Notamacropus eugenii: one gene and its partners. The protein of the gene in region 1 interacts with the protein of each later gene in a pairwise test. Links are inferred from orthologs where the notes say so. Each region holds a gene or a part of one and is shown in the gene's direction. Other genes may lie near its edges. The genes, in order: PSMC5, THRB, RORC and NR1I3.

The links.
Region 2: the proteins of PSMC5 (region 1) and THRB interact in a two-hybrid assay, tested with the Homo sapiens proteins (3 studies listed by BioGRID). The link is inferred for Notamacropus eugenii from reciprocal best matches to the Homo sapiens genes PSMC5 and THRB.
Region 3: the proteins of PSMC5 (region 1) and RORC interact in binary tests that used the Homo sapiens proteins (3 or more experiments, as listed by UniProt). The link is inferred for Notamacropus eugenii from reciprocal best matches to the Homo sapiens genes PSMC5 and RORC.
Region 4: the proteins of PSMC5 (region 1) and NR1I3 interact in a two-hybrid assay, tested with the Homo sapiens proteins (2 studies listed by BioGRID). The link is inferred for Notamacropus eugenii from reciprocal best matches to the Homo sapiens genes PSMC5 and NR1I3.

The regions. Positions count from the first base shown.
Region 1 is NC_092873.1:343,827,322-343,835,065, reverse strand, and holds the start of PSMC5 (26S proteasome regulatory subunit 8), read left to right. Parts: upstream 1-4,729; 5' UTR 4,730-4,864; coding exon 4,865-4,888; intron 4,889-5,279; coding exon 5,280-5,354; intron 5,355-6,162; coding exon 6,163-6,232; intron 6,233-6,798; coding exon 6,799-6,896; intron 6,897-7,101; coding exon 7,102-7,158; intron 7,159-7,248; coding exon 7,249-7,479; intron 7,480-7,662; coding exon 7,663-7,744. Other genes in the region: pre-rRNA 2'-O-ribose RNA methyltransferase FTSJ3, read right to left, coding at 624-759, 1,224-1,361, 1,463-1,543, 1,822-1,922, 2,019-2,123, 2,232-2,347, 2,454-2,648, 2,725-2,824 and 4 more.
Region 2 is NC_092874.1:30,392,429-30,400,363, forward strand, and holds the start of THRB (thyroid hormone receptor beta), read left to right. Parts: upstream 1-4,932; 5' UTR 4,933-7,935.
Region 3 is NC_092873.1:305,729,243-305,736,147, reverse strand, and holds the start of RORC (nuclear receptor ROR-gamma), read left to right. Parts: upstream 1-3,896; 5' UTR 3,897-3,964; coding exon 3,965-4,004; intron 4,005-6,634; coding exon 6,635-6,664; exon of another isoform or gene 6,665-6,678; intron 6,679-6,905. UniProt on the Homo sapiens protein: Nuclear receptor that binds DNA as a monomer to ROR response elements (RORE) containing a single core motif half-site 5'-AGGTCA-3' preceded by a short A-T-rich sequence.
Region 4 is NC_092873.1:267,698,193-267,705,380, reverse strand, and holds the start of NR1I3 (nuclear receptor subfamily 1 group I member 3), read left to right. Parts: upstream 1-4,172; 5' UTR 4,173-4,259; intron 4,260-4,299; exon of another isoform or gene 4,300-4,388; intron 4,389-4,663; 5' UTR 4,664-4,695; coding exon 4,696-4,802; intron 4,803-5,428; exon of another isoform or gene 5,429-5,456; coding exon 5,457-5,587; intron 5,588-6,147; coding exon 6,148-6,320; intron 6,321-6,583; coding exon 6,584-6,723; intron 6,724-6,912; coding exon 6,913-7,058; intron 7,059-7,167; coding exon 7,168-7,188. UniProt on the Homo sapiens protein: Binds and transactivates the retinoic acid response elements that control expression of the retinoic acid receptor beta 2 and alcohol dehydrogenase 3 genes.

The DNA.
Region 1 (7,744 bases):
GTCTTGTCTTACTGTTGATTCACAATGATCTTATAATCCACTAAAGCCCTCTCCTTGGATCTTTTGTGTAATCTGGTTCTACCTTATTACAGCTGAGTTTATGATGCTAAGTACAGGAGCTGGAATTTAAAAGGGAGGAATGGGGTATTAGATTTTAGATTGTGCCTCACTTTCCCAGCTTTGTGTCATTGCAGATCTCAGAAGCACACCTCTTTATCCAAGTCACTGATAAAAATGCTAAGCAGCACAGGTTCAAAGGCAGATAGATCCTTGAAGCTACTCTAGTAGAGGCCTTTGCTGAGGCCCTAATGTTCTCAAATTCAGTGAGCAAGTCTGTGTTTCACACCCTAATTCATGAAAACTTTATATTTTCCTTCCTAGCCTTCATCTTTCCAGATTTAAGAAGTACCATTCTTTCAATCTATCCTCACAGAGATTATGTACTAATTAGACACATAGTAGACTCAGCATGAGAATCCATATTTCCTAACTCCTAGTCCTGTGCTTTTTCACAATCTACAATCACAAGTCACAAAATCAACATAGTTAAATAGTGCTAGGAGAATCTGCAGTGCGTGATGCTGCATGTATACTGAACAGCCCTTGTTTACCCTCTAGCCCACCTGGTGGCCACGGATTGTCCGTAGGGAGAACATCCCAGTTTCACCATCATCAGCAATGGAAACTCCAGGCAGGTCCATTTTTAGCTCCACACGTTCCCGTTGCTTCCTCTGCTCCTGGAGTAGCTTTTTTTTCTTCCTGGATGAGTGTGGGGTCAATTCCAGTGAACTCCAGGCACACAGAAAGCTCAGCCAAGCCCCACAGGCTGCTTTTTCCAAACCCCACAACCCTCTCCCAAATCTGCGTACTCAAAAGTCAAGAACCTGGAGACAGGTTCAAATTGGAGATGTTATAAACATGATATAAGCCACAAATGGAAAACTGATGAACTACACTGGAAAACTGAACCTGTGTCTTACAATGAAGCCTCCACTAGATAACAAATTCAACTTGATGCCACAAAGTAAATCCTTCACAGCAATTTTCTGGCTTTTATATGCATTCATAAAAAGCGAAATTTTCTTTAAAAAAAAAAAAGTAGTACTTTTTGATGATGTAGTACTCCCCCCATCTACCCACTCCCATACTTTGTGTCCTGGGATTGCTCTCTTCCTTCCCTACTTATAAGGCCCTAGCTCTGTTACCAAACCCTTCTCTCTCACCTTTTCAGCTCTGCTACCTCCTGGGCTTTCATTTCTGCAAGAGCCCTATCCAAATCTTCCTCATCATCCTCAGCAGCAGCTGCTGTCTTTTTTCCTCCTTCTTCTTCCTCCTCCTCCTCCTCCTCTCCAGAACTAAGACTGGAATGGAGGTAAAACAGATAAATGAAGGCACAGTCAATGTCATTAGCCCTCTTCCAATGTTCCTCAAATTTTATGCTCTGCCTTGATCCTCAGCTTACCTGATGTCCAGTGCCTTTGCTTGATCTTTTAGCTTCTTGGCCACAAACCGACGAAGCTTTGTCCTCCAATTCAGCAGGGACCTGTTCCAAAAGCCCTGTTACTGACCACCCTACTCTATCATCATTAAATGTTTCATTGAGGGCATCAGAGCTACATTCAGATACCAAGATCACAAAATAAGTGAAAATCAATGCTTTGTCCCAAACCCGAATTTCTGGGACAAAGGTTTCCTGTTACAAGAAAGGTACCAGTTACCACTTGCTCCTCAAGTCTCCTTGGGCCTTACTCTGTCTCATACACACTCAGGCTTGCCCAAGGTCCCTCTCAGTCTCATGATTTGAGATGTTCGCCCCAGTACCTGAGCTCCTTTCGACCCAGTACTTTGATGTCCTGGCAGCACACCTTGACGTCCTCACTAGTAGCTGGATGCTGTTCCAATTCCTTATCATCTAGTATGATCTGCTCAGCAAGGAAGGAGAATCATTAGAAAGGACTAAACTTCCTAGTTGGGTCAGGGAGACTCTTCCACAAGTCTCTTTAATTCTGGACACTCACCTCACTAGCTTTGGAGAGGAAGTCAACAGGGTTGGCTGCTTGGAGAAAGTCAGTAAGGGAGACCCGATGATAGAGGGTGAGGTCCCCTTCAGCATAGCCTTCAGCCTAGGGACCAGGAAAGAAACACAGAACAGACAGGGGAGTCCCCTTTGAGGTGTTTTCAATGATTCTCAGAGATTTCAGGGTATGTGCACTTCTCTTTCACATACATACCTTGGGCTTTTTCTTGGTTACCAATTCACTCACAGTCTTGGCCTGAACTTCAACCTCTTTAAAGGCAAATTTGGGGTCAAAGAATTTACTGTCAATCTTATCAGGAGCCAGGAAACCTGGAAGAGAAGCGTATAGAGAAAAGGGAAAAGATAAGAACAGGCTTTAAAGGGGAAAAAAAAGAGGCCTTAGGAGTAGAATATACAGGGATAAAAGACAACTCACCCTGACAGACCACAAAGATTTCTGCCGATTCCTGACGGGAGGCCTGGGGCTTAGTGGCCTGGACGTGGCGAAACAACTGCTGGAAAATCCAGAGAAGGGGCTGGTAGTCACGAGAGCGAAAAACCTTAGTAATAAAGCAGCCACCACGTGCAAGAAAATCACAAGCCAGACGGAGTGCCATCAAGGTCAGGTGGGCTGAGGGGAATCAAGACTCGTCAGCTAGAGTGTTCACTATCTGTGAATAGTCCCAGCCCCAAATCTCCTTAGGTACCTTGTGAGTAGGCATCATGGACCCAGCTAGCCCCTACATTAGGGGCCCCATCATTGAGCACAACATCAACCTTCCAAGTCTTCAGCTCCTTCTTGAGAGCCTGGAAAAGGCAAACAGAAAGTCACACCTCCTTACCAAACTCTAGATCTTCCCTATGGTGTAGCCCCTTTCAAGGGCTGGATACATGTTTTCACTTAAACCAAGAAACACATGATGGACATGAAAATGGAGAATGACAAAAGTCAAGGACAACACAACTAGCCTTGTATAAACAGCACAACCACACTGGACGTTACACCATGGGTAAAACAGGGTCCCAAGTCTTCTCCCGCTTACGTACTTGCATTTCTCTCAAGTGAAAAAATCCATGATGACAAATCCCATCCTTAACACTGAACACACACACCTGGCTCCAACCCCCACTCACTCACCACCTGTGCCCACCCCAATCCCTAGTTCCCCCTGCCCCTACCAGAAGCCATTTCATGCCCCTCACAAATGCGTCCCCCACTGTGGTCTGGCCTGAGGGCTCCAGCCATTCGTCACTTGGCCCTCTCTGTTACCCTCACTCAGAACCCAAACTCCGGAATGAGTCTCCTTTATGCCACCACCAGGATCATCTTCTGTACGTATCTATATCCCTGGTGCCTGGCACAGTGCAAGTGCTTAGCAGATGCTTCTTCCTTCACGCGGCCAAAGCTCTCACTCCCATGGCAAGGACTCCCCAAAGGAGCGAGGGGCAAAGGCTGACCTGGCGGCATCTTTCGGTTGTGATGTCCTCTTGCAGCGTAACCACGTTGGGAATGGGCTTGATGGGAACCAGGTCCACTCCTAGAAAAAACACGCAGGGTGAGATCCCAGCTACGACGGGGGATGCGGGTGGGACCCCAAACTCCCCAGCCCACGCAGCGGGGGGCCACACGGTACACTCACCCACAATGAGGCTGGACACTGGCATGAACTTGGAAGCCACCTGCAGCCTGGGGAGTTAAAGAGAGCGAGGAGATGACGCTGGGAAGTTCCTCCAGCACGAAGGAGCCCGCTTCTGTCCCCTGGGTGCGTGTCTGTGGGGGCGGGGGGGGATGGTGAAGGGGGAGGAGGGGCGTTGTAACCTGTCAGTCCCGCGGCGGGGGCTGGGCGCGGGGAGGGGCAGATAAAAAGAACCAGCGCCCTAGGAAATGCCCGGCGTGAGCGCGGCGGGTGGGGGTGGACGGAAGGAAGGCCGAGGAAGGGGCCGCGGGCACGCACCATCCCCCGGGCGCCGCGCACAGGTCCAGCAGGGCCCGGGCTTTCTGCAAGAACTGGAAGCGGCGGTTCAGCTGGATCAGCTTGAACGCGGAGCGGGAACGGAAGCCTGCGGGAGGAGAGGGGCCGAGTGAGCGGGGCCGGGGGCCCGGACGACGGAGGCCCGGACGACGGAGGCCCGGACGGAGGGCCCGCGGGGTCCTCGCGACTCACCGGTCTCCTTGGCCAGGTGGTAGAACTTGTCCCGCCGGCTCTTCCCGACTTTGCCCTTCTTTCCCATGGCGCCGCGGGGAGGTGTGCCCTCACTCTGGCCGGGGAGAAGTCTCCGCCGCACGCGCGGAGGCCCACCAGAACCTCCGGCCCAACTTTCGGGGGCACGTGTAGGCTGGGGATGCGCTCCCTCCCTCTTCCGTCGCCTTCGCTCTTACGGAGATGACTCCGCCCCTTCAGCCATCTTGAGTCTGTAGAGAAAGATTTTTGAGGTGGTTTTGATAGGACGGTTTGGACTTTCCCATAGGGCGGGACGTTCACGGTGATCTAATCCAAGCCCTTTACTGCCGTGGAAGTCAGAGGCAGGAAGTGACGTCCCCAAGAGCTCCGCCCTGGATTCCCATACAAGTAAACCTAAGACCCAGCGAGCGGGTGAGGGAGCAGTAGGAGCCAATTGTCGAGGGAGTGTCTGGGAGGGGCATTTTCGGGTCATTTCCTCTCTTCGCTCTCCGAAATGGCCAGACGTGGAGTTCCGACCTTCCCAACATGGCCTCTACCAGCGATCATTCTTGAGAGTCGCGTCGCTTGACCCGGAAGTTTAATCGCGGACCGCGGCGGCTCCCGCCCTTTTGCGCTTGCGCCCAGAACTCACTTGGATGCCGGCATCCGGATCTGAGGAAGGAAGATGGCGCTGGACGGACCGGAGCAGGTAGGAAGGTTGCGGCGGGGCCCGGGCAGGGAAATTGCGGGGACAGATGGGGTTTGGAAGTCATATCTGGGCGGGGGACAAACCGAACCCAGGTTTGGATCCGATGGAGGCGGGGGCCGAGCTTCAGCTAGGGCCGGTGCTACCCCACAGGCCGACGTGCTTTGTCAGCGCCGCCCCGGCCGGGTCAGGGGCCGGGGATGCGGCCCCGAGCCCAGATCGCACGGGGCGGGGCCGCCCTCGTGCCCCGCGCGTGATTGGTGTTCGTGCGGGTGCGTGTCGCTTTCACGCCCGCGTTGATGGCAGGCTCCTGGCGGGCAGGGAGCTGTGCCAGCCTCACGGGTCTCTGTGCCGTAGGCACCCCCCAGAATGTTATCTGATAACGTTTCTTCAGCAGATGGAGTTGGAGGAGGGCAAGGCCGGGAGTGGGCTGCGGCAGTATTACCTGTCCAAGATCGAGGAACTTCAGGTGAGACGCGGGGCAAGGGACGAGGAGGGCTTGAAGGTTCCGGGAGGAATCTCTGTCAGCGTCACTCCGGGAGGCCATGGGATGGAGGGGGGAGGGAGAGCCCGGGTGTTATGGGAGTGGGGGTCAGATTGGGAGGAGGGGAAAGAAATCAGTCTCCAAGGACCCCCCCTTAGGGAGGGAGGGAAGGCATGGAAAGTTGGGCTGGCCACATAGGGAGGGGGTTGGGTTGAAAAAAAATAAGTGAGATGAAGAAGCTTGGGAACCTTCCGCGTGACAAATGCTGGGAAGACACCTGTTGCTTGGGCCTGAGCTCAAGGAAGACAGAAAACCCAGAATTCTAATTTTAGAGGTCTAAGAGTAGAAACTGGGTGGAATGAAGACGTAGTGAAGGATATTTTCACAAGCTTCGGTGGGGGCTTTAAAGTTTTTGTAGGAAAAATAAAGTATGTAGCTGTAAGAGGTAGGGTTAGCAGCTGTCTGGTCTGTGTTACAAACTCCATTGTTGTAGTGAATAACTGACCTGGGCTTTAATAAAAAAAATAAAGGTCCCCCAGAATTTTGAAGCTCTCTTTGTGAGGGCATGTAATATCTAGGCTAGAATTAGCTTCTTCTTTGGACCTTTTTGAATCATGGCAGGACTTTTTGAGGCATAGAACAGGGTGGATGTGATCTGTTTGCTAGAATCTGAAACCAGGTATAGCAGACCTTGTCCCTTTTCATAATCACATTTAGGAAATTTGGCCAGGAAATTTTTTTTTTTTTAGCTACTTGCCTATACATTATACTTGTTATCTTCTGCCCACTTCAGCTGATCGTGAATGACAAGAGCCAAAATCTACGTCGTTTGCAAGCACAAAGAAATGAGCTAAATGCAAAAGGTGGGAGCCCAGCATAATGACTGGGATTCATAGATTCTGGCTTCTGTTTTGACTTTCTGGGTGGTACCCTCCCTTGCTACATTTCAAATAGTAATACAAACTAGCATGTGATTGAGCGGTTGTGTGGTGCAGTTGATAGAGTGCCAAGCTTGGAGTCAGAAAAACTCATTTTCCTGAGTTCACATCTGGTCTCAGACACTTAGTACTGTATGACCCTGAGCAAATCACTTAACCTTGTTTGCCTCAATTTCCTTCACTGTAAGATGAGCTGGAGAAGGAAATGGCAAATAGCTCCAGTGTCTTTGCCAAGAAAACCCTAAGTGGGGTTACCACTAGTTGGCCACAACCAAAACAATTGAACAGAAGCATTATGATTGGATTAGCATTATTTACATTTCTAAATATATTGAAAACATTTAAAGATCAAAATATTTTATGCTTCACAACAGTGCTTGAATTATTTGAATTACTGGGCTGGAATGGTAATCAGGTAGTTTGTTGAGCTATTTAGCAAAACGTTGCAAAATTAAAAGAAACAAAACTGCTCATATTTGCTTCTCATACAGTGCGCCTGCTACGGGAGGAGCTGCAGCTGTTGCAGGAGCAGGGGTCCTATGTGGGGGAAGTGGTCCGAGCTATGGATAAAAAGAAAGTTTTGGTCAAGGTACAGAGTTTGACCCCAGGGACTGAAACAGGTTTATTTGCTATATTTGTTACCCCTTAAATGGACCCTTGGGAGGGGACAGTGTTGCATCTTATTGGTTGATACATATTCTTTTAATGTTCCTTGACTTTTCCTTGGTTGTATGACTTGGTACCTGGGATGGAGACTGATGCCACTTGGAAAGCTAATAAACTCCTCCCTCTAGGTACATCCTGAAGGGAAGTTTGTGGTTGATGTAGATAAGAACATCGACATCAATGATGTAAGTGTAGCAAGGAATAAAGGGGGTAAGGGGCTGGAACCTGTGTGCTGTATTGTAGTGATGTTTTCTAAAATCATCCACCATAACCAGGTGACACCCAATTGCCGTGTGGCTCTTCGAAATGACAGCTACACCCTGCACAAAATTCTGCCCAACAAAGTAGATCCATTGGTATCTTTGATGATGGTGGAAAAAGTGCCTGATTCAACCTATGAGATGATTGGTGGCCTAGACAAGCAGATCAAGGAGATCAAAGAAGTGATTGAACTGCCTGTTAAGCATCCTGAGCTCTTTGAAGCACTAGGCATTGCACAGCCCAAGGTGAGGGGTAGGATTTACTGTGGGAGCCAAATGGGAGGTTCTCATCCATGCCCTGCACCAGATACCAATGTTAAGTCACAAAGAGGTCAGAGGCAGTTGTGCCTGAAAGACATTAATTGGGATATGAGAGAATAGAGGTGGAATTTACTATGAGAGGACTGAGTTTCGCATACCCTACCCTAGGGTGTGTTGCTGTATGGACCTCCAGGAACTGGCAAAACTCTCTTGGCTCGGGCTGTGGCTCATCACACTGATTGCACCTTTA
Region 2 (7,935 bases), on another chromosome or scaffold:
CTCCCTTCTTTCTATCCTTCCTTTATCCTTCTTTCCTCCCTCCTTTCTTGCCCCTCCCTTTTCTCCTTCTCTCCCCTTTTCCCTACTTCCCTTCTTTATTTCCTTCTTGCAATTCCATTCAACAAATATTTGGTAATCATCTGCTTATGTGAGAGGCACTATACTAGGTCCTGAGAATAGAAAAAGCACAATCTAAGCTCCTGACACCAAGGTGCTTACTTACTAGGAGTATGTGACATGCACACCAATGCATCAAAATATGACCATTTGAGGAGGGGAAGAATGTTAACAACGAGGATAGGGATCAAGGAAGGCTTTAGAAAGGAGGCGATGTTTGCCTGAGCCTTGAAGGAAGATTAAGGCAGTGTGAGAGGCACTATGATAGAGTGGGAGTTACTTGGGCTCCTATTTAATCCCTGAGGTGCCTGGCTCTGTGGTCAGGGGTGACTCAATTCACCAGTTTCCTCATTTGTAAATTAGGGAAGGCATCCCTGCCTCACAAAGCTTTTGTGGGGTTCTAGTGAGATAATGTGCATCAAAGTGCTTCACAGATCATAAAACATTGTAGAAATGTTGGCTCTTGTTAGAAGGATTCTGGGAGGAGGAAGGAGAATTATCCAGGAATGTCATTTTGGTGTCTGTATCCCTAGCACCTAGCACAGGGCCTCCCACACAAGAGATACTTGGTAATGTTTGCTAGATGGATGGGTGGGTGGGTGGATGTGAGGAATGGGATGCATGAGTGTCCCGCAGGTGGGATGTGAATTGAGGGAACATCTGGAGGCCCCTTCAGCTGGAACATAGAGGACTGAAAGGCAGTACAGTGAGATAAGACTGGAAAGGTCGTCAGGAGCCAGGCCATGACGGGTGGTCAAGAATGCCAGCCTGAGTCATTTTTGTTTCACAGAGCCAACAGGGAACCTCTGAAGGTTTATGAGCAGGGAACATCATTGTCCAACTATGCCATAGAAGATTTATTTTGCAGCTTTGTGGGCGATGGATTAGAGGGGAAGGACTGGAAATGGGGAAAACAATGAGGACATTCCAGGCAGGAGACAATAAAGGCCTCCTTTCCTTCCTTCCCTCTTTTCTTCTTCCCTCCCTACTCTCTCCCTCCTTGCTTGCTCCCTCCCTTCTCCCTTCCTTCCTTCCTTTCTTCCTTCCTTTTTCCCTCCCTCCTCCCTTATTCCTTCTTCCCTCTCTCTCTCTCCATTCTTGCTCCCTCCCTTTCTTTCTTCCTTCCTTCCTCCCTCCCTTCTTCCTTCCTTTTCCCCTTTTCCTTCTTTCCATCTTCCTTTTTTCCTTTTTTCTTCTTTTCTCCTTTCCTTCCTTCTTTCCTTTTTTTTCCTTTGTTTTCTTCTTTCCTTTTTTCTCTTTTCTTTCTTTTTTCTTTACTTCTTTCCTTTCTTTTTTCCTTCCCTCATTCCTTCTTTCCTCTCTTCCTCCTTTTCTTCTTTCTCTCTTTCCTTTCTTCTTTCCAAAACTACTTATTAAAGTTCCTTCTGTGTTGGAAGCCCTGTAATCAGTTTTGTATTCCCTCATTTCAAGAGTCAGTAAAACAAAATGAATTCCCAAAAGAGTGGTTTGAATTTGACACACATAAACTTTCCACCACCTTTTTTTTCTTGTCTTCTTTCTTTCCTTATATTATTAGACTAAATGCTGGTACCTTTGTTTGTTTTGACACAAAAGACTCATTAGAGGAAAATAATGTTTTTCCCTCCATCCTCAGAGAATGTTACTATTGAGTTTTCTTAGTAAAGCAGGTGTAGTTTGTGTACAGGCTTCTGCCTTTTGGATTCCTCCTAAATTCATCTGAAGAAGTAGGAGAGACCAAGGCAGAGGACCTTTTGACAACAAGTCAAGGGTTAGCATTACTTCACTGCTACTTGTCCTTCCCTGATATTTCTCCCTCCAGGGTCTGCGCAGCCATTTCCAGTGGCTCTTCCTTTTCATGGGGAGCCGTCCCTTCTCCTGGAAGCTTTCTGTTTCTGTTTCCAGTGATCTACGCTTAGGTCAAAACCCTGAGCTTCCCCCCTGCCTGGCCCTTCCTCCTATAGGTCATTCACACCCCTGCCCAGAAGGGCCAACATGAGACCCCAGAAAGAGCCCTGTCCTTGAAATCAGAAAACCAGGGTTCAAGGCCAAGCTCTGCCCCTTAGGAGCTGTGGGATCCAGACCAAGTGACTCATCCTCTCAGATGTGCTGTCTCAAGTCCACTAGGGGTAAATCAGAATCAGCCCACAGAACCAGTGTGAGAAAAGGGGTTTCTAAACTTTCAAGGAGAGACAGAGACAGAATCTAAAAGTATATATATTATATATGTGTGTATGTTCATATTTACACACACATGTAGATTTGGTCTGTTCCTAGGTTGTCACTGGTTTAAGGAATTGATTTTACCAAAGCAGATTGGTAACTGGCAACCTAGAGCCATGGAGATTTGACTGGAGGTCTGAGCAGCTGGGACTTGCCCAGCCATACAAGTCAGTACTTGAACTAAGGTCTTCCGGAGTTTAAGGCTAGCTCTTTGTGGCACACTTTTATACATACATGTATATGAGCATGTGTATAACATGCATATACATGTGTGTTCGTGTGTATTGTATCTGTATGAGTATGTGTGGGGTTTGCATGTAAATGTGTGGTTATATACATATATGATTATAGTAAGTAATGTATGTTACATAGTAAGTACATTGTGTGAAATGTATTTATGGATACATTATAGGGATATAAATAGGTTGTGCATATTATATATGTATACAGATGCAATAATTTCCTCTTCTGTAAAGTAGGGAATAATGATTACATCTACCTCACAGAATTATTGTAAGGATCAAGTAAGATAATGTACAGAAAGCACTTTGCTAATAATTTTAAAGTACCATCTATTTTTAAAAAGTCCTCATTTATTTATTTTGAACATTCTTTTCTTTTTAAACTTTGAGTGTTCCAAATTCTCCCCCTCCCCCCACCTCTTCCACACCCACTGAGAAGGTAAGCGATATGATATCAATCATACATGTGAAATCATGCAAAACATATTTCCATATTAGCCACCTTTCAAGCAAGAAAAATAAAGAAAGTGAGAAAATTATCCTGCAGCTTGCACTCAGAGTTCATCCGTTCTTTCTCTGGAGGTGGATAGCATTATTTCATCGTGAGCAATTTGGAATTGTCTTGTATTATTTTATTGATCAGAGTAGCCAAGTCTGTCACAGTTGATCATCATTACAACACTACTGTTACTGTGTACAATGATCTCCTGGTTCTTCTCACTTCACATCAGTTCATTTAGATCTTCATGTTGGGTTTTTTTTCTGACACCACCCCCCTCATCATTTCTGATGGCACAATAATACTCCATCACAATCATATACCATTCCCCCATTGATGGGTATCCCCTGAATTTCCAAGTCTTTGCTACCACAAAAAGAGATGCTATAATATTTTTATACATATAGATCCTTTTCCTTGTTCTTTGATCTCTTTGGGATACAGACCTAGAAGTTGTATTACTGGGCCAAAAGGTATGCACAGTCTTATAGCCCTTTGAGCCTAGTCCAAGTTGTTTTCCAGAGTGGTTGGGCAAGTTCACAACTCTACAAATGGTTCATTAGCATACCTATTTTTCCCGTCATCTCTTCCAGCATTTGTCATTTCTGATAGGTGTAGATGCTACCTCAGAGTTGTTTTAATTTGCATTTGTCTAATCAATAGTGATTTTAGAACAATTTTTTATGTGATTGTATATAACTTCTGAAAACTCCCCTCTCAGTGGCCATTTATCAGTTGGACTCTTTTTTTATAAATTTGACTCGGTTCCATACTCAGAATACATTTGAGAAATTATTACAGAAATTTGCTTTAAAAATTTTTGATAGTGCTTTATTGTCTATGGTATCTTTTAGCAAAATGTAATGTCCTGGATTATCTCTTTTAGTTAGGTCTATTTTTGCTTTGGTTTTGGTTGAGGACTTGATTACTATCCGCACAACGTTTTTTACTCCAGCTGAAGCATACTAGATTCTGCTCCAGACCTTTATTTAATTCTGTGTGTGACTTTCTGTTTCAAGTGTGTCTCTTATAAACAACATATTATTGAATTCTGGTTTCTAATCCATTCCACTGTATGCTTCCATTTTATGGGTGAGCTCATCCCAGACTCATTCACAGTTGTCGTTACTAACAGTCTATTTCACTCCATCCTATAATCCTCTCTTCTTCCCCCTCCCTCTCATTCTCTCCTCTCTCCCCTTTCTCCCCTCTCTCTGTCCCGTTTCTCCTCAAATTCTTATTTTGCTTCTAACAACTGCCTCCCTTAATGCACCCTCCCCTTTATCAAACCACCTCTTTCTCTTATTCCCTAATCGTCCTGTTTCCCTGTTGAGTAAGTTACATTTCTATATACAACTCAGTGTCTATGTACATATGTATATATATGTATATGCATGTATTTACATATATGTGAGGGGTGAGGGGTGTGTATACGTGTGTCTGTGTGTACACATTTTCTTCATTCTTTCAACCAGTTCTAATGAGTGAAGATCAAGCATTGCTTGCCACTACCATCCGTTTTCCCCCTCCATTGTAAAAGCTCTTCCTTGTACGCCTCTTTTATGTGAGAAAATTTTCCCCATTCTACCTCTCCTTACCCCCTTTTCCCAGTACATCCCTGTTTCTCCCTCCTTAATTTTTTTTGGAGTTCATCCCAAGTAATCAACTCACACCCATGCCCTCAGTTTATTGTAAACTCCTTTCAACTGCTCTAGGCATTACAAAGTTCTTAGGAGTTACAAGTATCATCTTTCCATATAACAATTTAAACAGTTTAACTTTATGGAGTCCCTTATGATGACTCTTTCATGTTTACCTTTTTATACTTCTCTTAAGTGTCAAATTTTCTCTTCAGTTCTGATGTTTTCATCAGTAATGCTTGAATGTCTTTTATTTCATTAAATATGTGTGTGTGTATGTATGTATTTGTCTATTTATTTTTCTCCTGAAGGATTACACTCAGTTTTTCTGGGCAGGTGATTCTTGGTAGTAACCCTATCTTCCTTATTCCAAGCCCTCCACTCCTTTAACATGAAAGCCATTAAATCTTGTATGACCCTGACTGTGACTCCACGATATTTGAATTGTTTATTTCTGACTGCTTGAAACATTTTTTCTCATTGACCTGGAAGCTCTGGAAATGGGTTTAATATTTCTGGGAGTTTTCATTTGGGAATCTTTCAGGCGATGAAAGGTGGATTCTTTCACTCTCTATTTTACCCTCTTGAAGAGAGCTCCTGAAATTGTTGCAGCAGCGGCTACTGTTGCCACTACTGTGTGTGTAGGCTCCAACACGGGACTCCACCCTAGTGACAGACTTCTCCTGCCAACCTCTTAAGTTTTCTTAGGCTGGAAAAATGTCTCACTCCGACTTTTTATTGGCTCTGCTGCACCAAAATTTGATTTCAAGTGCTATTTTTTAAAGTTGTTTGGAGGAGAATGTGGGGAGAATTCACCTCGGTGGTTGCCCCCAATCTGCCATCTTGGCTCCACTCCTTTAAAGTGCCATCTTGATGTGAGCTGTTATTATTCATTTCCTCCTGAGTATAAAGTAGGTTAGTGAATGGCAGCCCCTCAGGTCAATCTATAATCCTGTCAAAGTTGACCAGCCCCAAGTTGGTCCTTAGATACTCTAGGATCCATCTTGTATCAAGATAAAAGACTCCTCACATGGGCTCTGTTATATCACAGACTGGTTCACTACCTTACTACCTCCACTGAAAGGTGGATTCTTTCACTCTCTATTTTACCCTCTTGAAGAGAGCTCCTGAAATTGTTGCAGCAGCGGCTACTGTTGCCAGTACCAATGAGAAACCATAACCAGGTGTGTTCCTTGTGAGTGTACACTACATCTCTTTAGAAAATGGATAGCCACTGCTTTCTCCATGTGACTGTAAGCTTTGCTCTACTCTATAGTAATAGGGTTCCCTTAGCATTCTGTTCAACCATAATGCAAGTATCTCCCTTTGGTCAGAGTAGAATTGGCTGAGAAAGTGAAAAGAGATGAATCAAATCCATTCCTGCACAGACATTGCCATGTGCCAAAGGACTCCACAGAGCAGCTATTACCCTACATCTCAATCTTCCTTCCAATGCCACTTTCCCAAACCCTTCCCCTTCCATGTTGGATGATGAGCAATCTACTTATTACTACCTCTTCTGGAGGGAATCCAGAGCCCCTCATTCACTCTGACCCTCAGACCCACTCCTACCCTCCCAAGGGTTGTAGGCCTGGCTTTGCTGCTTACTCTGAGCAGAGAGTCACCAGTTACACTCCTTCCAGTAAGGTGGAAAAATCACTTTGCCTTACCATCTTCCCTGCCCCTGGCTTCCAAAGAACTCCCATTTGTCTCCTGATTTGAGGTGAGCTCTTTGAAATCAGGGACCGTCTTACTTTTCTATTTGTATCTCCAGTACATAGCTGTATTTCACACATAGTAAGTGCACCAGGCCTTACCATATAGGCATCTAGATGGCCCAGTGGATAGGACACTGAGTCTGGAATCAGGAAGACATGAGTTCAAATCCAGCCTCAGACATTTACTAGCTGTGAGACCCTTCACAATCACTTAACTGCCTTTTGCTTCAATTTCCTCATCTGTAAAATGGGGATAATAACAGCACCTCCCTCCCAGGGGTGTTGTGAGAATCGAATGAGGTAATGATTGTAAAGTGCTTCACACAGTACCTGTCACAGAGTAAGCACCATATAAGTGTCAACTCATTATTATTACCCAGATTACACTCTGGCCCTTCAGTACTTGCCATTTGCCCTGAAAAGACACCCTCCAGGCCCCTACACACCACCATCTGACTTGGCAACAAACCCTCAGGACTCCTGGCCTTTCGTATCTATCTTGTTGATACCTGCTAATGAGCACCAGACCTTGTGTCTGAACTCTCCTTGACATGTTGTGTCCCACAATTAGAAGGTGATCTCCTTGAGAACAAAGATTGTCTCACTTTTCTGTATGAATCCCCAATGCTTAGCATAGGAAAAATGCTTTATAAATGCCTTTTTGCTCATTTATTCATTATTTTATCCTTAAATCTATAAACACCATCACAAGTAGCTGCCAGGAAATGTCCCCTTTCCAGAGCCATGGGGCCCTTGGCTCCTGGCCCTGTGATGTCCCCTTCTCTTCTAAGGGACCCCCCAGGAGTCCAGAAGGATCTGCAGGAATCCACAGTTGGCCATCCCTCCCATCAGCATGGACAGGGTGGGATAGGGCCATGGCTCATTCCAGGCTCGGAACGTCCTCCAGACAGACAGAGAGAAGGGGCTGGAACGACAAGGGAAGAGGCCACAGTCGCGGGCCTTGCTCCAGAACTACCCTTGGCCAGTTCTCTTTTTTAGAAGGCAGAGAAAACACACTTGACAGCAGGCACTTTGTGCTGCCCCAACAGGTTAATCCTGACCTTTTCAATGCACATTTTTACCAGCCATTAACAGCATGCTATTTTCTGCTCAGCTGTCTCCTAAAAAGCTTTAATTCATCACATTAGACAGTGGGCACCTACTCTTTCTCCTATCCATGTGGTCCTGCCCAGCTTGCCCAGCTCTTGTCATTTTATCAGATTTATTCTTTTTCTCTTTGACAGTTGGGCAGCACTGAGGGAATGAAAGTTTAAATGAGTTTTAATATAGCCAGATAAATAGCAACTGGAGTATGTGTGTTGGACTTCGAGTTGGGAGGATCTGAGTTCAAATCCAGCCTGAACCACTTGCTGATTGTGTGACTCTGGGCAAATGACTTTCGTCTCTCTCAGCCTCAGTTTCCTCATCTGTGAAGTGGAGGCAATAATAGCACCCACCTTCCCAGGGTTGTAAGGATTAAATGAAATACCCTAGGTATTTCCTTTCTAGAAAGGAAA
Region 3 (6,905 bases), about 38 Mb from region 1:
GGCTGAGATTCCCCTGCCTGATAAGGGGCTCTGCACGTGGGGGATTGAAATGACTGGCTGATATCTATCTGCCTCCTTGCATAAGAGTGCGTGGGGAGGCGGGGGTGGGGGCTTAAAAACCACTGCCCAGTTCTGGAGGGATTGATTCTCCTGGAAAATAGGCTGAGATTGCAGCCGGAAGAAAGGAATGAGTTCCTGGAGTAGAAGAGACAAGGGAGATTAGGGGATCTCCTTCTCCATGGAGGGGAACTCCAACATGTTAGGCTCCAGCTTGGTAGGAAAGAGATTGGCCAAGGTATAGGAGGAAACACCTAACTTACCCTCTCCTCTGGGCCCGGTTCCTCCCTTTCTTCCTCCACCTACATACTGGGCAGAAGTGGGGCAGAATGGGCATACCCACTCTGCCAGGACCAATTGGTCTCCCTTCTACTCCCGTTTATAGTGTCCATACCATACCAACCGGTGGGAGGAGAGGGAGAGAGGGCTTTGCCAATGAGAAGTAGATTTGCTGGTGTGAGACACCACAGGGCCTAGGGCTTGATCTCCAGAATAAGACCTTATCATGCCCTCCATTTCCTGAAAGAGAGGTGATAGACTCAAGATGCAGAATGAGACCTGCATATCTGGACATGATCATTTGTTCTACTTGACCATGCACATTACACATTTTACTTGACTTTGAATGTTACAAAGTTTTTTCTTTTTTTTTTTTTAATCAGTGTAAAGGAGGGAGAATAAATGCTTGTTAATTTTAAAAAAATAGAATTAATTGTCTAGACTTGTATACTATTCCTCATCTGCTTCTCCCCCACTCATGTATCCACCTTCTCCCACTGGTGAGTTTTTCCCAGAACTTGCATTTTAAGAAAGCGGACAGATCAGTCATCTTTCATTCTCTAGACTTTACTATCACCATCACCTCCTCCAACTCTTCTCTGTTCACTTAATAAATGCCTGTTGACTGGGGGAGAAGAATTGGGCAAAAGAGGGAAAAGGAGATAGATTCAGAGAAGTAGGAGAAAAGGCAAAGTTTAGTGCCAGGTAAATTCCTCTACACTGGAGGTCAGGACCTTTCCTTTCACAAACACCACGTGCAAGACACCCACCAGAGTTGGAGCTTCTGATTACTGCTCTTAGGCCCAGCCTGGCTTGCCAAGTTATATAAAAGGCAAGTTGCCAGAGAAGGGTGCTCTCCCAATCATTAGCTGTGCCCCACCCCTCTCCATCCTGTCTGTTTGCCCCTAAGGAGAGGAGTCGATCAGGGTTGGACCAATCAAGGCCGAGGCCCCTTCTCTTCTATGTCAAACCTGTTAGTTTGTAACAGATCCACACCCTGACTATCCTTAGCAAAGGATAAAAAAGATAAAAACTAAGAGAGTGAACCTGGAACATTGTGAGTGCTGAATTCTTACTCATATTTTAAAGCAATATGTAGCAGAAAAAGGTCTGAATTCAAATTCTAGTTGTGTGACTTTGGGCCAGCCATCCATCTGTAAAATGGGGGTGCTGTTACCTGTCCTACTTACAGGTTGTAATGAAGAAGGTAAAGCCTACTTATTACATAACTTTGAATTATTATTTTGGTCCAGACCTTTTTGATTTCATCAATGTGGGTAAAAGTCTAGTATGGCAAATCCCTCCGGTGGCCAACAATAGCTAACATTTATAGAGCATTTTAAGATTTATAAAACACTTTCCATTACATAATCTCATATATGAGGCAGTTGATATTGATCCCCATTTTCTAGGTGAGGAAACTGAGGCACACAGAGTTTAAATGACCTCCCTGGAACTATACCACTATCAAGTGCCTGAAGTAGGTTTTGAACTCGTGTTTTCTGACTCCCAGGCTAGACTCTATCCATTATGCCAAGCTGTCTCCAACAACAAACAGAGATCCACAACCCAATCCTAACTTACAGTCTTGCAGAATCACCTAGGGTGCTAAGAGGTGGAATACCCTCCCTGCCCATGATCATGTTGGTTATAAGAATCAGGGGCAGAGCTTGAGCCCAGGTCTTCCTGACTCCAAGGCCAGCCCTCTATCCACTGTGACACATTGCTTCTCAATCCCCATTCCAGTCACAATTTTGTTATTATCTCCATTCTTTCATCTCCTTCAATAGGGTTCATATAGAAACAATTTGGGGTCAAGTTACTATCCAACTCTGAAGTTTAATGTTCTATATTCTATTACACAGGTGGGTAAAATCATTATTATTTCATGATTCTCATCTTTATGTTTTCATGATCTAGCTACATTAGGTTACTTACAGGACCCTCCATCTCTCACCTCCCCTCTGAGCACTATCTGTTCCCTATGCTTGGAGTGTTCTGCCCCTGCCCTGCCCCTCACCCCCCACCTCTGTCTCTAGGTTTCCTCAACTTCCTACAAGTCCCAACTCAAAGCCTACCTTCTACAAGAGGCCTTTCCCAGCTTTGGCATTTACCTAGGATTTTCAGATGTGCCATATTCTGCTCCTGGAATTTCCTTCTAAGTTCTAAGCCAGTAAGGCTGATTAATATCTCATCCAAACTTCATACCTCCCATCTCGTGTTCAACATGGGCACTTCCTGAACATTTGTTGAATTAAATTGAATCCTTAAAGGCAAGTATTAGAAAGAGCACTGCACTTGAAATCAGGGGATACCTGGGTTCCAATTCCATCTCTTACACTTCCTGTGTTACCATGGGCAAGTGACAACCATTCTGAGCCTCAGAAATTAGTGGACTCTCCAGGTTGAGGAGGGAGAAACAATTAAGAAAATAGAAATGTAAAGTAAACCTTAAAAGACTATATTAATGTCAACTATTCGAGTTATAAATACACAGACAATTCTGATACCAAAAGTGTCTGCTCTAGACAAAATGATTCTCTTCCGTCTGACTCCCCACTGGAAAGTTCGTCTTCATAGCTAAACTTTACTTCTTCTCTTTGGTGCCAGAAGCAGAAATCTTGGCAGAGAAATGGGAGTAGAATGGAGGGGTCCAGGAGGCTAAAGATCGAAGGACAGCTGCTGCTTACTTCTTCCATGCAGGCCTCCACGTGGTGGGAGGTGGGGGAAATTGGGATGGAAGCGGGGCGGGGGAGCCGGGGGAGCCAGAGTCACGAGGCCCTAGCATGGCCAGGTCTTCAGCTGCTGTTTACCAGCTGAAGAGAGAGGAGGGGTGCCCAGGAGCCCTCCCCCCTCCTGTCTGGCTCCCTGCCAACCCCAGCCTGTTGGGTAACATCAGGAGCCAGGCCCAGCTAATCAAACCCTGGGACTGAGACTGGGACAGGCGGCCACCAGGACAGGTATTTGTTCCTGTCTCCGGAGAAGGGGTGAAGAGTAAGGGGTGGGAGGTTGGAGAGGAAGGGTCTCTCTAAGTCCTGGGATCTGCTGTGTGGGCCTCATTTCTTTCGTGCCACCCCCAGTCCCATCTTCCTCCAAACTTTATGTTTCAACTTTCTCCAGATCATTTGCAGAGCTCAGAACTATTCTGTGTTAGTGATACAGTGATATGTGCAGTCTATCTGAAAAGCCTTCAAAGGATGGGCAATCCCACCTGGTCTAGGACATGCAGGGCCAGCCTGAAGGGTATAGGTAGTACAGGGAGAGGGCTTGGAGGGACCGAGGTCAGGTAGATGGGATGGAGGAGAGGCCCCAGTTGTACTGCTAGATCTCCTGTATCTCTGTATCCTCCCTATCTTTTCCCATCCTCCATCATCTGTCTCTTTCCTTATCTCCCCTTATCTCTGTCCTCCTTCCCTCTAACATGTATCTTCTCTGTCTTTCCATTTTCCCCAGTCTCTTTCCTCTCCCTTCCTCCCACTTGCCTATAGTGCTAGGATGCTCTGACAGCCACTCCTCTCCCCTGCCTACTGCCTAGCCAGGTGCTCCCTCCCTCCTTCCCTCCCTCTTTTTCTCCCCTGGGCTCTGATCCCCAACCGGGACCAAGGACTTCCAACAAGTGAGCTGCCCCATGGACAGGGCCCCACCAAGTCACCACAGAGCTACAAGGGGTAAGACAGGGAGGGTGGGAAAGGCACAGGAAAGAAGAAGGGAAAGAGATAGGAGGACAGGTAAAGAGAAGAGAGACAGGAGGTAGAAAGAGAGGAGAAAAGGTGAAGAGGGAAAGACAGGGAAAGGGAAGAAGCAATGAGGAGAAAAGAAGAAACAGGAGGAGAGAGACAGAGAGAGAAACAAAGAGAGAAAGACAGAGAGAGGGGAGGGGAAAAACAGAAGAAGAAGAGATAGGGAGAGGGAGAGATTAGAGAAATAGGAGAGAAAAGTAAAGGGAGAGACAAGAGAAGAGAAGTAATGAGAAAAAATAGAAAGGAGAAGAAAGAGAAAAAGAAGAGAAGAGACAGGAAATAGAGAGCTAGAAGAAAGAGAGATGGAAAAAGAGGAGTGATGAGACAGAGTTAGAAAAGACAAGAAGACACCACCAGAAGAAAGGGGAAGACAGGAGAAGGAGATAGAAAAGAGTGAGACAGGGAATTGGGAAAGACGGGAGAGAAGAGAAAAGGAGAGAGAAGAGGGAGAATGTCACAGTGAAGAGAGAGAAAGAAACAGGGCAGGGGGTGGGAATCTTGGAGTTTATGTTCAGCCAGTATGCGGTGGGTCTCTCAAAGTGTGTGCTTCTACACATAAATGATTATTAGGGTCCTACCCACTCCCCAGCTCCACGTCCCTGTGTCTGAGTCCCTCTTGAGGTCTCCCAGCTTTCCTGGTGTTTTCCACTTGGCAGTGCCCAAGCTGAGGGAGATTTATCCTGGCTGTAGGGGATAGCAGGGGCATGGGGGAATTGGGAAGGGCATGCCCCACCCCCTATCCTGGAGTGCGATCACTTTTTGATGTCAGTTCAAGTACCAACCTGGTAAATTTTTAATTCTGAGGGGATAGGGTATTGTACTGACCATGATACAATTGTGAGGTAATTTTCTAGGGACAGAGGCACCAGGGCACAAATGGGCATACTGAGGCTTTTGACATCTTTTCATGTGACGGACACTTTTGACAACCTGGTGAAGTCAGAGAACCCCTCCTCAGAATAAGATTTTTAACCATACAAAATAAAATAGATAAGACTGAAGGAAACCAATTCTAAAAACAAATTCATGGATTCCCCAAGTTAAAAACTCCTGAATCTAATGCCTCAGATGTAGCAGAAAGAGCATTGGTCTTGGAGTTAAAACATCCACTGTTGTTATATATTCACTGTTTGACCCTGGGCAAGGAAAAAGCCTGCTGGGCCTCCATTTCTTCTTGGGTCACGCAGGAGACAAGGGTGCTGGGCCCAGAGTCAGGAAGGCCTGGGTTCAAATCTAGAGTCTGACACTTATTAGCTATGTGACCCTGGACAAATCATTTAACCACTGTGTGCCTCAGTTTCCTCATCTGCCACATTGGGGATAATAATAGCACCTACCTTCTGGTGTGGTTGTGAGGTTAAAATTAGATAACGTCTGCAAAACACTTTGCAAACCTTAAAGCAGAGCCGTGCAAATGCTACTATTATTAGAATCATGAGGCAAAAATGAGAGCATTGGACTATTCAATTCAATAAGCATTATTTATAAAGTGCTTTCTTTGTGTCTGGCCCTAGGTTAGGGACTGCAAGATCTCTAAAATCCTTTCTAGCTTTAAATCTGTGAACCTATGACTGCTGGTCGGTCTAAACCCTCCGATTAGCTAAGTGGTCAGTGTCACTCTCTCTATTTGCTCTCTGGTGGGCATTACCTAGAATCAGACCTTCCCAGGACCTCAGGTGCTCAGGTTAGCACAGATGTCAGTGACCAGGCCAGTTATAAGAGCGCGTGTGTGTGTGTGTGTGTGTGTGTGTGTGTGTGTGTGTGTGTGTGTGTGTGTGTGTGTGTGTGTGTGTGGTGGATCTGGGATGGGGTGGGAGGGAAACTTTTCCCTATGCTGGCAAAGATGGAGAGAGGGAAGGATGTCTTTTTCCATCACCAGCTCCCAGGACATCCAGGATACAAGCTGAACCCCAAGAAAACTGAGTATTGGTGTACCACATCAGGGAGGAAGCAAGAAAATGCTAAGGCTGGGGCTAAAACAGATTAGGTCCAAGGAAATAGGAGTACTCTCCCACTCCCTCCTCTCCTCCAGAAGTTGTCTCTCCAACTGACAATCTCGAGGTTTGCCTGATGGGATACAGGGAGGGAAACAGGGAGGTATAGGGCAGACTTGGAGTTGGGGGAGTCAGACAGCTGGTCTTCTCCAACTTGGAGGAGCTAGAAGAACAGGGAGAATAAGGTCTGTTTCGCTGAAGTGAGTAGGAAGCCAAGAGGAGCTCCCAAAGTCTTGGCAGGCCTGGGGGGTGTCTAAGGGGAATTGCCAGTAACTCTTACTTCTTAACATATCTCCCCAATCCGGAGCTGACCAAGGCCCCTTGGCCTACCCCTTCCCCTATTATGCACTTTATTCTACCTAGACCCCAAACTAAAATTGTGGTGGTATGTGGGCTTACAGAGGCTAATAAAGTTCAACAACACGTTTGGCTAAGGGGATGGGGATGGCCAATGTGTTGGGGGTTGGGGTGTATTTGTGACCAGTGAGAGGAAGGGGACCCTCATCTCTTGGCCCTACTACCTTCAATGGGTCCAAAGTCCTCATAATTCTCCTTTTCTTACAGGGCCTGAAACTGCAAAGAAGACCCATACCTGTGAGTGCATATATGTATGTGGGGGGAGACAGCTGGGAGATGTGGATTGAGACAGGGTCTGGTAGTGGGAAGGGGTTCCTAGACTGAGAATTTTAGAGAAATGGACAACTTTGAAAAATTAAGGTGAGGGAGGGCAAAGATGGTATAGGAGAGAGATCAGAAGAGCTAAAATGACCAGAAGAGTGAGGCAAATGGGACTAGTTGGGGAAGGAAAGAATGAAGAGAAATGTTCATTGAAGAT
Region 4 (7,188 bases), about 76 Mb from region 1:
GATGGAGGACAAAGTCAATTCATTGCCATTAGCAACAAGGTCCTTTAGAGACTAAATGACCTTCTGAAAAAAATCCTAGTCCTAATTCAATAACTGATTATTAATATGAGAGAGAAATAATCATTTCTTTTATATCTTACGTGTATATATACTGTCAGTCAATAAACATCTGTTAAGTACCTACTATGTGCCAGGCACCATGCTAAGCACTAGGGATACAAAGGCAAAAGACAGCCCCTGCCCTCAAGGAGCTTCTGTTCTAATGTGAAAGATCGCAAAGAAATGGAAGCTGAAGAGGTATGGATGGCGGCGGGTCAGAGTGGGAAAGAGGCATAGCAAGGAGGCGTCAATGCCATGTCTGGCACATAGTAGGCACATTTTACTAAGTGCTTGTTAACAATAATAGTTGGCGTTTATATAGCACTTCAGGGTTTGCAAAGGTAAAAACCTGTGTTATCTCAGGTGCTAAAATCTCCAAAGGGGCGTAAGGGCAAGGGAAATAAAGAGATGGCTGGCCTGGGCACCCTACAGTAAGAGGAAGGGGCTCCAAGGACAGAAGGTACCAAGAAGGTAGGAAGTGGAGTTTGGGGTTGCAGTGGTCTTCCAGGCTGAAGAGGTCCCTGACATGTATGGAGAACCCCAGAGGAGCCCAGCCTGGTTAGAAATGATCACAAGATGACAGATTTAAAGTCAGAAGGGACTTTGGAGGTCACTGGATTCCTCTCCAAGTGCTCCCTCTGCCAAGTCCAGCACTTTTTCCATTTCCTTTATTACATGCTACTTCTTGATTGGATTGGACTGGATCTGGGGAATTCAGCAGTAACACTTTCAGTGATCCCAAGCTGTTCCCAAAACCCATCTTCCAGACATCCATATTCTTCCAGCCATGCTATGTGACTGTGAATCATGAAACACCATGCTCACAGGCACTTCAAAATAGCAGATGACCTAAAGAAACAGAAAAGCACAGAGTGTGGGTACAAGTAGGCTGTGCCATATTGCCAAAAATGGCCTGCCCTTGGTGATGTCTTTTATGTCACTTCTCAAGGGCACCCATGACGCAGAAAAGGAGATGTGCCCGTCACTCATTTAGAGCCAGGGAAAACAGATGGACAGCCAGAGTACTGCATTCATTTCCATAAAGTATTCAAGGGACCAGAAGAAAGTCTCCAGTGGGCAACTCTTCAATGGAGGAATTCATGGAAGACACAGACAAGAGTTACATGGGATGAGGAAGCAGGAAGGTGTTGCTATCTCCACTATGTCAAGAGGGATCTTTCCCACTCCCCACCCCCCCACTCTTGGAATCCCTTGTTTCTTTTGAGACTGAGCTCAGGCACATCTACTACAAGGAAGTCTTTCTGGATTCCCCCTCCAAACACCCACACACATCCAGCTTCTAGAGCCCATCCTCCCTAAATTAACTTGTGTTTCCTTTGTATATATTCTCTACTTGTTTATTGTTGCATGTTTTCTTCTCTCCCCACCCCCAATCCCCATAAAATGTAAGATTCTTGAGGGCAGGACCCCTTGACTCTGTCTTCTCTTGTCTTCAGCTTCTTGTGCAGTGCCAGGCACATACTAAACACTTAATAAGAGATTATTGATTGACTTACAGTACTAGTATCCACATCACTTCAGTAGAGATACTTGAAACATCAAAAATTATACAGTATAGGTACAAAATGTAGACTAGGTAAATAAGGCACACATAAATGGAGAATATGCCCAACACCTCTTAATGATGAGGTACATATAACAGATGTTCAATAAATATTTGTTGTAATGAATAATTGAATGTAACATTTCTTTCGAAGTTCAAGCCTTAGTTTATCTCTTAGTCCACAGTGAACTTTCCTGTCCCTTAAATTTCAGAACTAAACACTTAGTCAAGTGTTGTATATATGTATATATGATGGGCTGCTAAGTGGTACAGTGGATAGAACCTGGAGCCTCGAGGTCATGTGTGGCCTTCCAGGTCCTTGACTACGGCCTTTTGACTGAGTCCTAGTTTTACAGAACAAATCTTTTAAGGAGATTTGTTCTGTGATTCAGAACAAAGGGCCACACTTGAGGATCTAGAAGTCACAGGTTCTCTACCCCTGGTCTAGAGTCAGGAAGACCTACCTGAGCTCTAAATCTGACCTTAGATACTTAACTAGCTGTGCCACCCTGGGCAAGTTGCTAATTTCTGTCTGCTTCAGTTTTCCTCACCTGTAAAATGGGGATAATAAGAGCATCTACCTCCCAGGGTTGTTGTGAGGATCAAATAAGATGAAAATTGTAATGCACCTGGTACATAGTAAGAACCATATAAATACTAACTATTACTATTAGCTGTATCTTGAAGTTTATTATTTATTGTCTCGGGTGTAATCCGGTTTTGAGCATATATGTCTCATCTCTATATTCTGAATTCCTTAAGGATGGAGACCAAATCTCAGTCACATAATATTAGTGGCAGAAGGAGGTTTAGAGATCCTCCAGTTGAAGTGATGAAGAGTGGAGTGATTCCCCAAAATAGTTGAGAATAAAGTGTTGTCCTTGGAGTTGGGAGACGTAGGAAGAAGGCAGAGCATCCTAATGATGTGGCCTTGTGGGCTTACTTAAGAAAAATGAAAAAAAAGCACAATCCTACAGAGAAATGCTGAGAAAGACCTATTCGCAGAGGTAGGTACATCCCTGTAAAGTACAGGTATGTCACTTACCAATGTTACCAGTGAAGACTGGACATTGTCTCCACTCAGGCTTACTCTGATGGGTCATCATTCATGGAGATGCCCCTGTATTCTCCAGCTCTGGTGGGTCTTACTAAGCTGGAAAAGCTTTGAGAGCATGGCTTCCAGCATCTGACTATTGTCCAAGGACCAACCTAGCTGCGTTCATCACCAAATAATATGGGTGTTTTGTTTTGTTTTGTTTTTAGCCACAACAGTTCATTAAAGCAACTAGAAATGCGTGGAAGGGCTGTGATCTGTGATATGAAGGGTAAGCTGAAGAATTATACTGAAGACTATAGTTGCTTGAATATTTCTGTTTTCTTTTAAAATACTTAATGATATTCTTTTGTTTGTCTTTTTAAAAAAAGTTTTTAATCCCCATCGCTTCCCCCTATATTGGGGGCAGCTAGGTGTCACAGTGCATAGAGTGCTGAGCCTGGAGTCAGGAAGACTAATCTTTCTGAGTTCAAATCTGACCTCAGATAATTATTAGCTGTGTGACCCTGGACAAGTCACTTAACACTGTTTGCCTCCATTTTCTCGTTTGTAAAATGAACTGAAGAAGGAAATGGCAAACCACTGCAGTATCTTCACCAAGAAAACTCCAAATGGGGTCACAGAGAGTCCAACATGAATGAAAGGATTGAACAACACTTCCCAATGACTCTCTACCTTAGGGGTAGGGAATTTGTGGCCTCAAGGTCCTCTAGATCCTCAAGTGTGACCATTTGACTAAATCTAAACTTCCCCAAATGCCCTTATTAAAAGGATTTGTTCTGTAAAACTTGGACTCAGTTGGACTCAGACTTAGAAGGCCACATGTGGCCTTGAAGCTCCAGGTTCACCACCCCTGCTCTACCTCACCATATGACCCTTCCTTGTAACAAAATAAGTTCAGACAAGCAAAACATATCAACACATTGACCACCTCTGAAAACATATGCCTCATTCCACACCAATGGTCCACTACTTCCTGTGGAGAACTGTGTAAGGGAGAGGAGGAAGAGAGTTGACCCTGGCTGAATCTTAAAATTCATTATCAGAAATCATCGGTTCCTTTATCTTGGGGCTCAGAGAACAAAGCAATAACATGTTAATACCAGAGTAGTCTCTATCCTCCTACACCTACTCTATTAATATACATAGTTATTAATGTGTCAGATTCCTACACTTTGCCCTGTCTATCCAGTTTTTCCTTCTAACAGGAGGAATTCCCTTTAATAAAGCCAGATTATTTCATCCTGTCACAAATTGGAAATCTACACTGGACATTCTTAAAGTTTGTCACAGATACTTTCACCCTGACAACAGCCAGCAGACCTGACCTGTGAGAGGTGTGATGGGGCAGAAACCACTGTTAGAGAGTCCCTAGGTCTCATTCACACTAAGCTCCTCCTCCATGCTACCAATGCCAACTTCTTGGGCATGCTGGGATAACCACCCATCCTGGACTCCATTCTAGGTCCAAAGTCTACCTTAAGCCCAGGCACTGAGAACTATTGGAAGCTCCACAACACCGGGCCCCATTGCCCATCTCAGGTACTGAGGTCCACTATCCTTGATACTAGGAATTGAGTCCAAGCTGGGGCAAGAACCAAGTATAGAGTTGGGGGTGAGGGTTGGGGAGGGAGGTTGATGACTCCCACGTGGAAGCTGAGGGCCATACAGGTAAGTGCAACAAGAATGATGGTTTGGGTGGGCTGAGCAGGGTAAAGGATACAACAGGAATTTGAGAAAGGGAAGGAAAGTGCAGATAACTGCAGACCATGGGAAGTAGAATATCTGAGAAACCAAGGTCCCCTGGCAACTGACACAAAAGGGGGCCAAAGCTACAGAAGGCTAAGGCCAGAGACAACAGCTTGAGTATGAGTGCTGTAGGAGGGAGAAACTGGGAAGACTCAAAGGTTGACAAGGACAAAATGCCCACCCTTTCTCATTCTCAGGGGACTGGGGCCCATCTGAAGTCCTAAGATCAATGGCAAACAGAGAGGATGAACTACGGAGCTGCGCTGTATGCGGGGACAGGGCCACTGGCTACCACTTCCATGCCCTGACCTGTGAGGGCTGCAAAGGGTTCTTCAGGTGAGGACACCTACAGGAATGAACCTTCATACAGTTGATCACTCTGCCCCTACGCCTGAAGAGAACATAGGCTTGACCATATCATATGGGGTCATGGGGCTCTATTTCTGCAGCCCATGACCCCAAAGCCAGCCCTCACAGTCCTGCCAACCTCAACATTATACAAACAAGTAGAAGGCAAAGACAAAACCCTGAACTTTTGTCTCAGATTTACTGCCAACTTATCTACTCCTAGCAGTAAACGTTTACCATGTGCCAAACAACACTATATTACTAAACTTGATATGAAAAGGACTAAAGTCGTTATTGTATAGAGTATCATGACTTGATTATATAGTCGTATAGAAAACCTTTAGAAAAAATTGGGATCAAGGTCCCTAGGTTCTAGAGGTCCCTAGACCTCTCTCAAGTGGGCTTGGATATAATTTGTTCCTAATTGGCTATGACAATAAGCCACTTTCTGCAAAGCACCAAATGACCTGAGTTTTTCCTTTCCTGACTTGGTCTCCTTATATGCTTCAGATTGGCCCATGCCATCCACTCCACACACTTTCTCCTAAAGACATTGCTCAGACCAGGCCACACAAACTTTAATTCTTCTTTGGACCTTTCCTACATCTTATTAGTCCTCAACCACCTCTCTGCGTCTCCCAGGCGGACTGTCAAGAAGGGGATGGGACTCACCTGTCCTTTTGAACAATGCTGTGAGGTCAGCAAAAACCAGCGGCGCCATTGCCCAGCATGTAGGCTACAGAAATGCTTTGATGCAGGCATGAGGAAGGACAGTGAGTCAGCCCCAACCCATCCCCTGAGAAGGGTGGTATAGTGGACTTGCTAGGCTTGGGTTCAGATTCTGCCACTACTCCATACTGGTCATGTAACTCCAAGGGCCATCTTACTTTCCCTGACCCAACCTTCATTTCCTTTCTCTAGGTATTAAGACCCTGAGGCCATGAATTGTCCTTCTCCCTTGCACCTCCATACCTGTGGGGTCCCACCCTGTCACATCACCTTTACACCTATAGAACAGACTTTCTCCTTTTACCAGAGCTTGTATGAGAGGCCTTGGTATCACAGACCTTCCCAACACTCTCCCGCTCTGAGCTGTTCCCTAGTGCAGCAACCTACACATTCTATGAAAATAGACTAGAGACCCCTGCAAGCTGATCTTACCCTACAGAACCCTGAAAACCTTTGGGGCTCCTGAAACCATTGAGGAAAACCTTGGGCACCTTTCTAGCCTTGGCAGAGCTCGGTTTGGGGCCTGGAGGAGCTCCTGAGGCCAGGCCTGATATAGTCAGACTCCACCTCTCTCAGCACCTCTTCTGTCTCTTCTGGAGCACAGTGATCCTGTCAGCAGAAGTCCTGGCACAGAGGCGGGCAAAACAGGCCCAAAAGAAGGCAGAACAGGAACCTGTGCAGCTGAGTCAGAAGCAGGAGGCATTAGTCCAGGTGTTACTGGGGGCTCATGCCCGCCATGTGGGCACCATATTATTTGACCAGTTTGTGCAGTTCCGGGTGAGTACCTGCTGGGGTCAAGATTCAAAGAGCTCCAGAAGAGGAGGAGGGAGGGAGACTAGAACCAAAACACTAGGGAAGGCTGACCCATGGAAGAGACTTGAAGGGGTGCCAACTCTGAGAGACATAATGGTTATGTCTGTTGTGTTACTTAATGGTTGAAGAATGACCATTAGCCCCTTTAGCCAAGGCCCCCTCCCTGGGAGAGGTGAAAGCATCAAGAAGATGCTTGAGTCAAGGCCTCTGACTGTCCATTCTTCTAGCCCCCAGCCCATTTGTTCATCCACAACGAGCCTGCAGGCTCCCTGTCACCTGTCCTGCCATTACTCATACACCTGGCAGACATCAGCACCTTCATGGTACAGCAAGTGATCAAGTTCACCAAGGATCTGCCCCATTTCCGGTCAGTGAGCCCCACTACCTCTGAGTAGTCTGGGAAAGGACCCTTTCCTACACCCTCTAATGTCTCCATGGCAAATGCTCCTGCTCCCAGCCTTGTTGTTCTCCATCTTCACTAGGGCCTTTGACTACTTTGCTTTTTAATAGTCTCAGCAATCCAGCTCAGCTCCTCTGTTGTTCTCCTACCCTGCAGGTCTCTGCCTATGGAAGATCAGATATCCTTACTGAAGGGTGCAGCCCTGGAAATCTGTCATATCGAGCTCAACACCACTTTCTGCCCCCACAGCCAAACTTTCCTGTGTGGGCCTCTCCGCTATACCTACCAGGATGCGGTTCATGGTGAGGGGGCACAGCTCCCATGTACTCCCCCGATAGAAGGTGGCAGGGAGGGCTTGGGAAGCAGCTCAGCAAGCTGTGGTCTTGCCCTTGAACCCGCTGTGTCCTTCAGTGGGGTTCCAGGAGCAGTTTC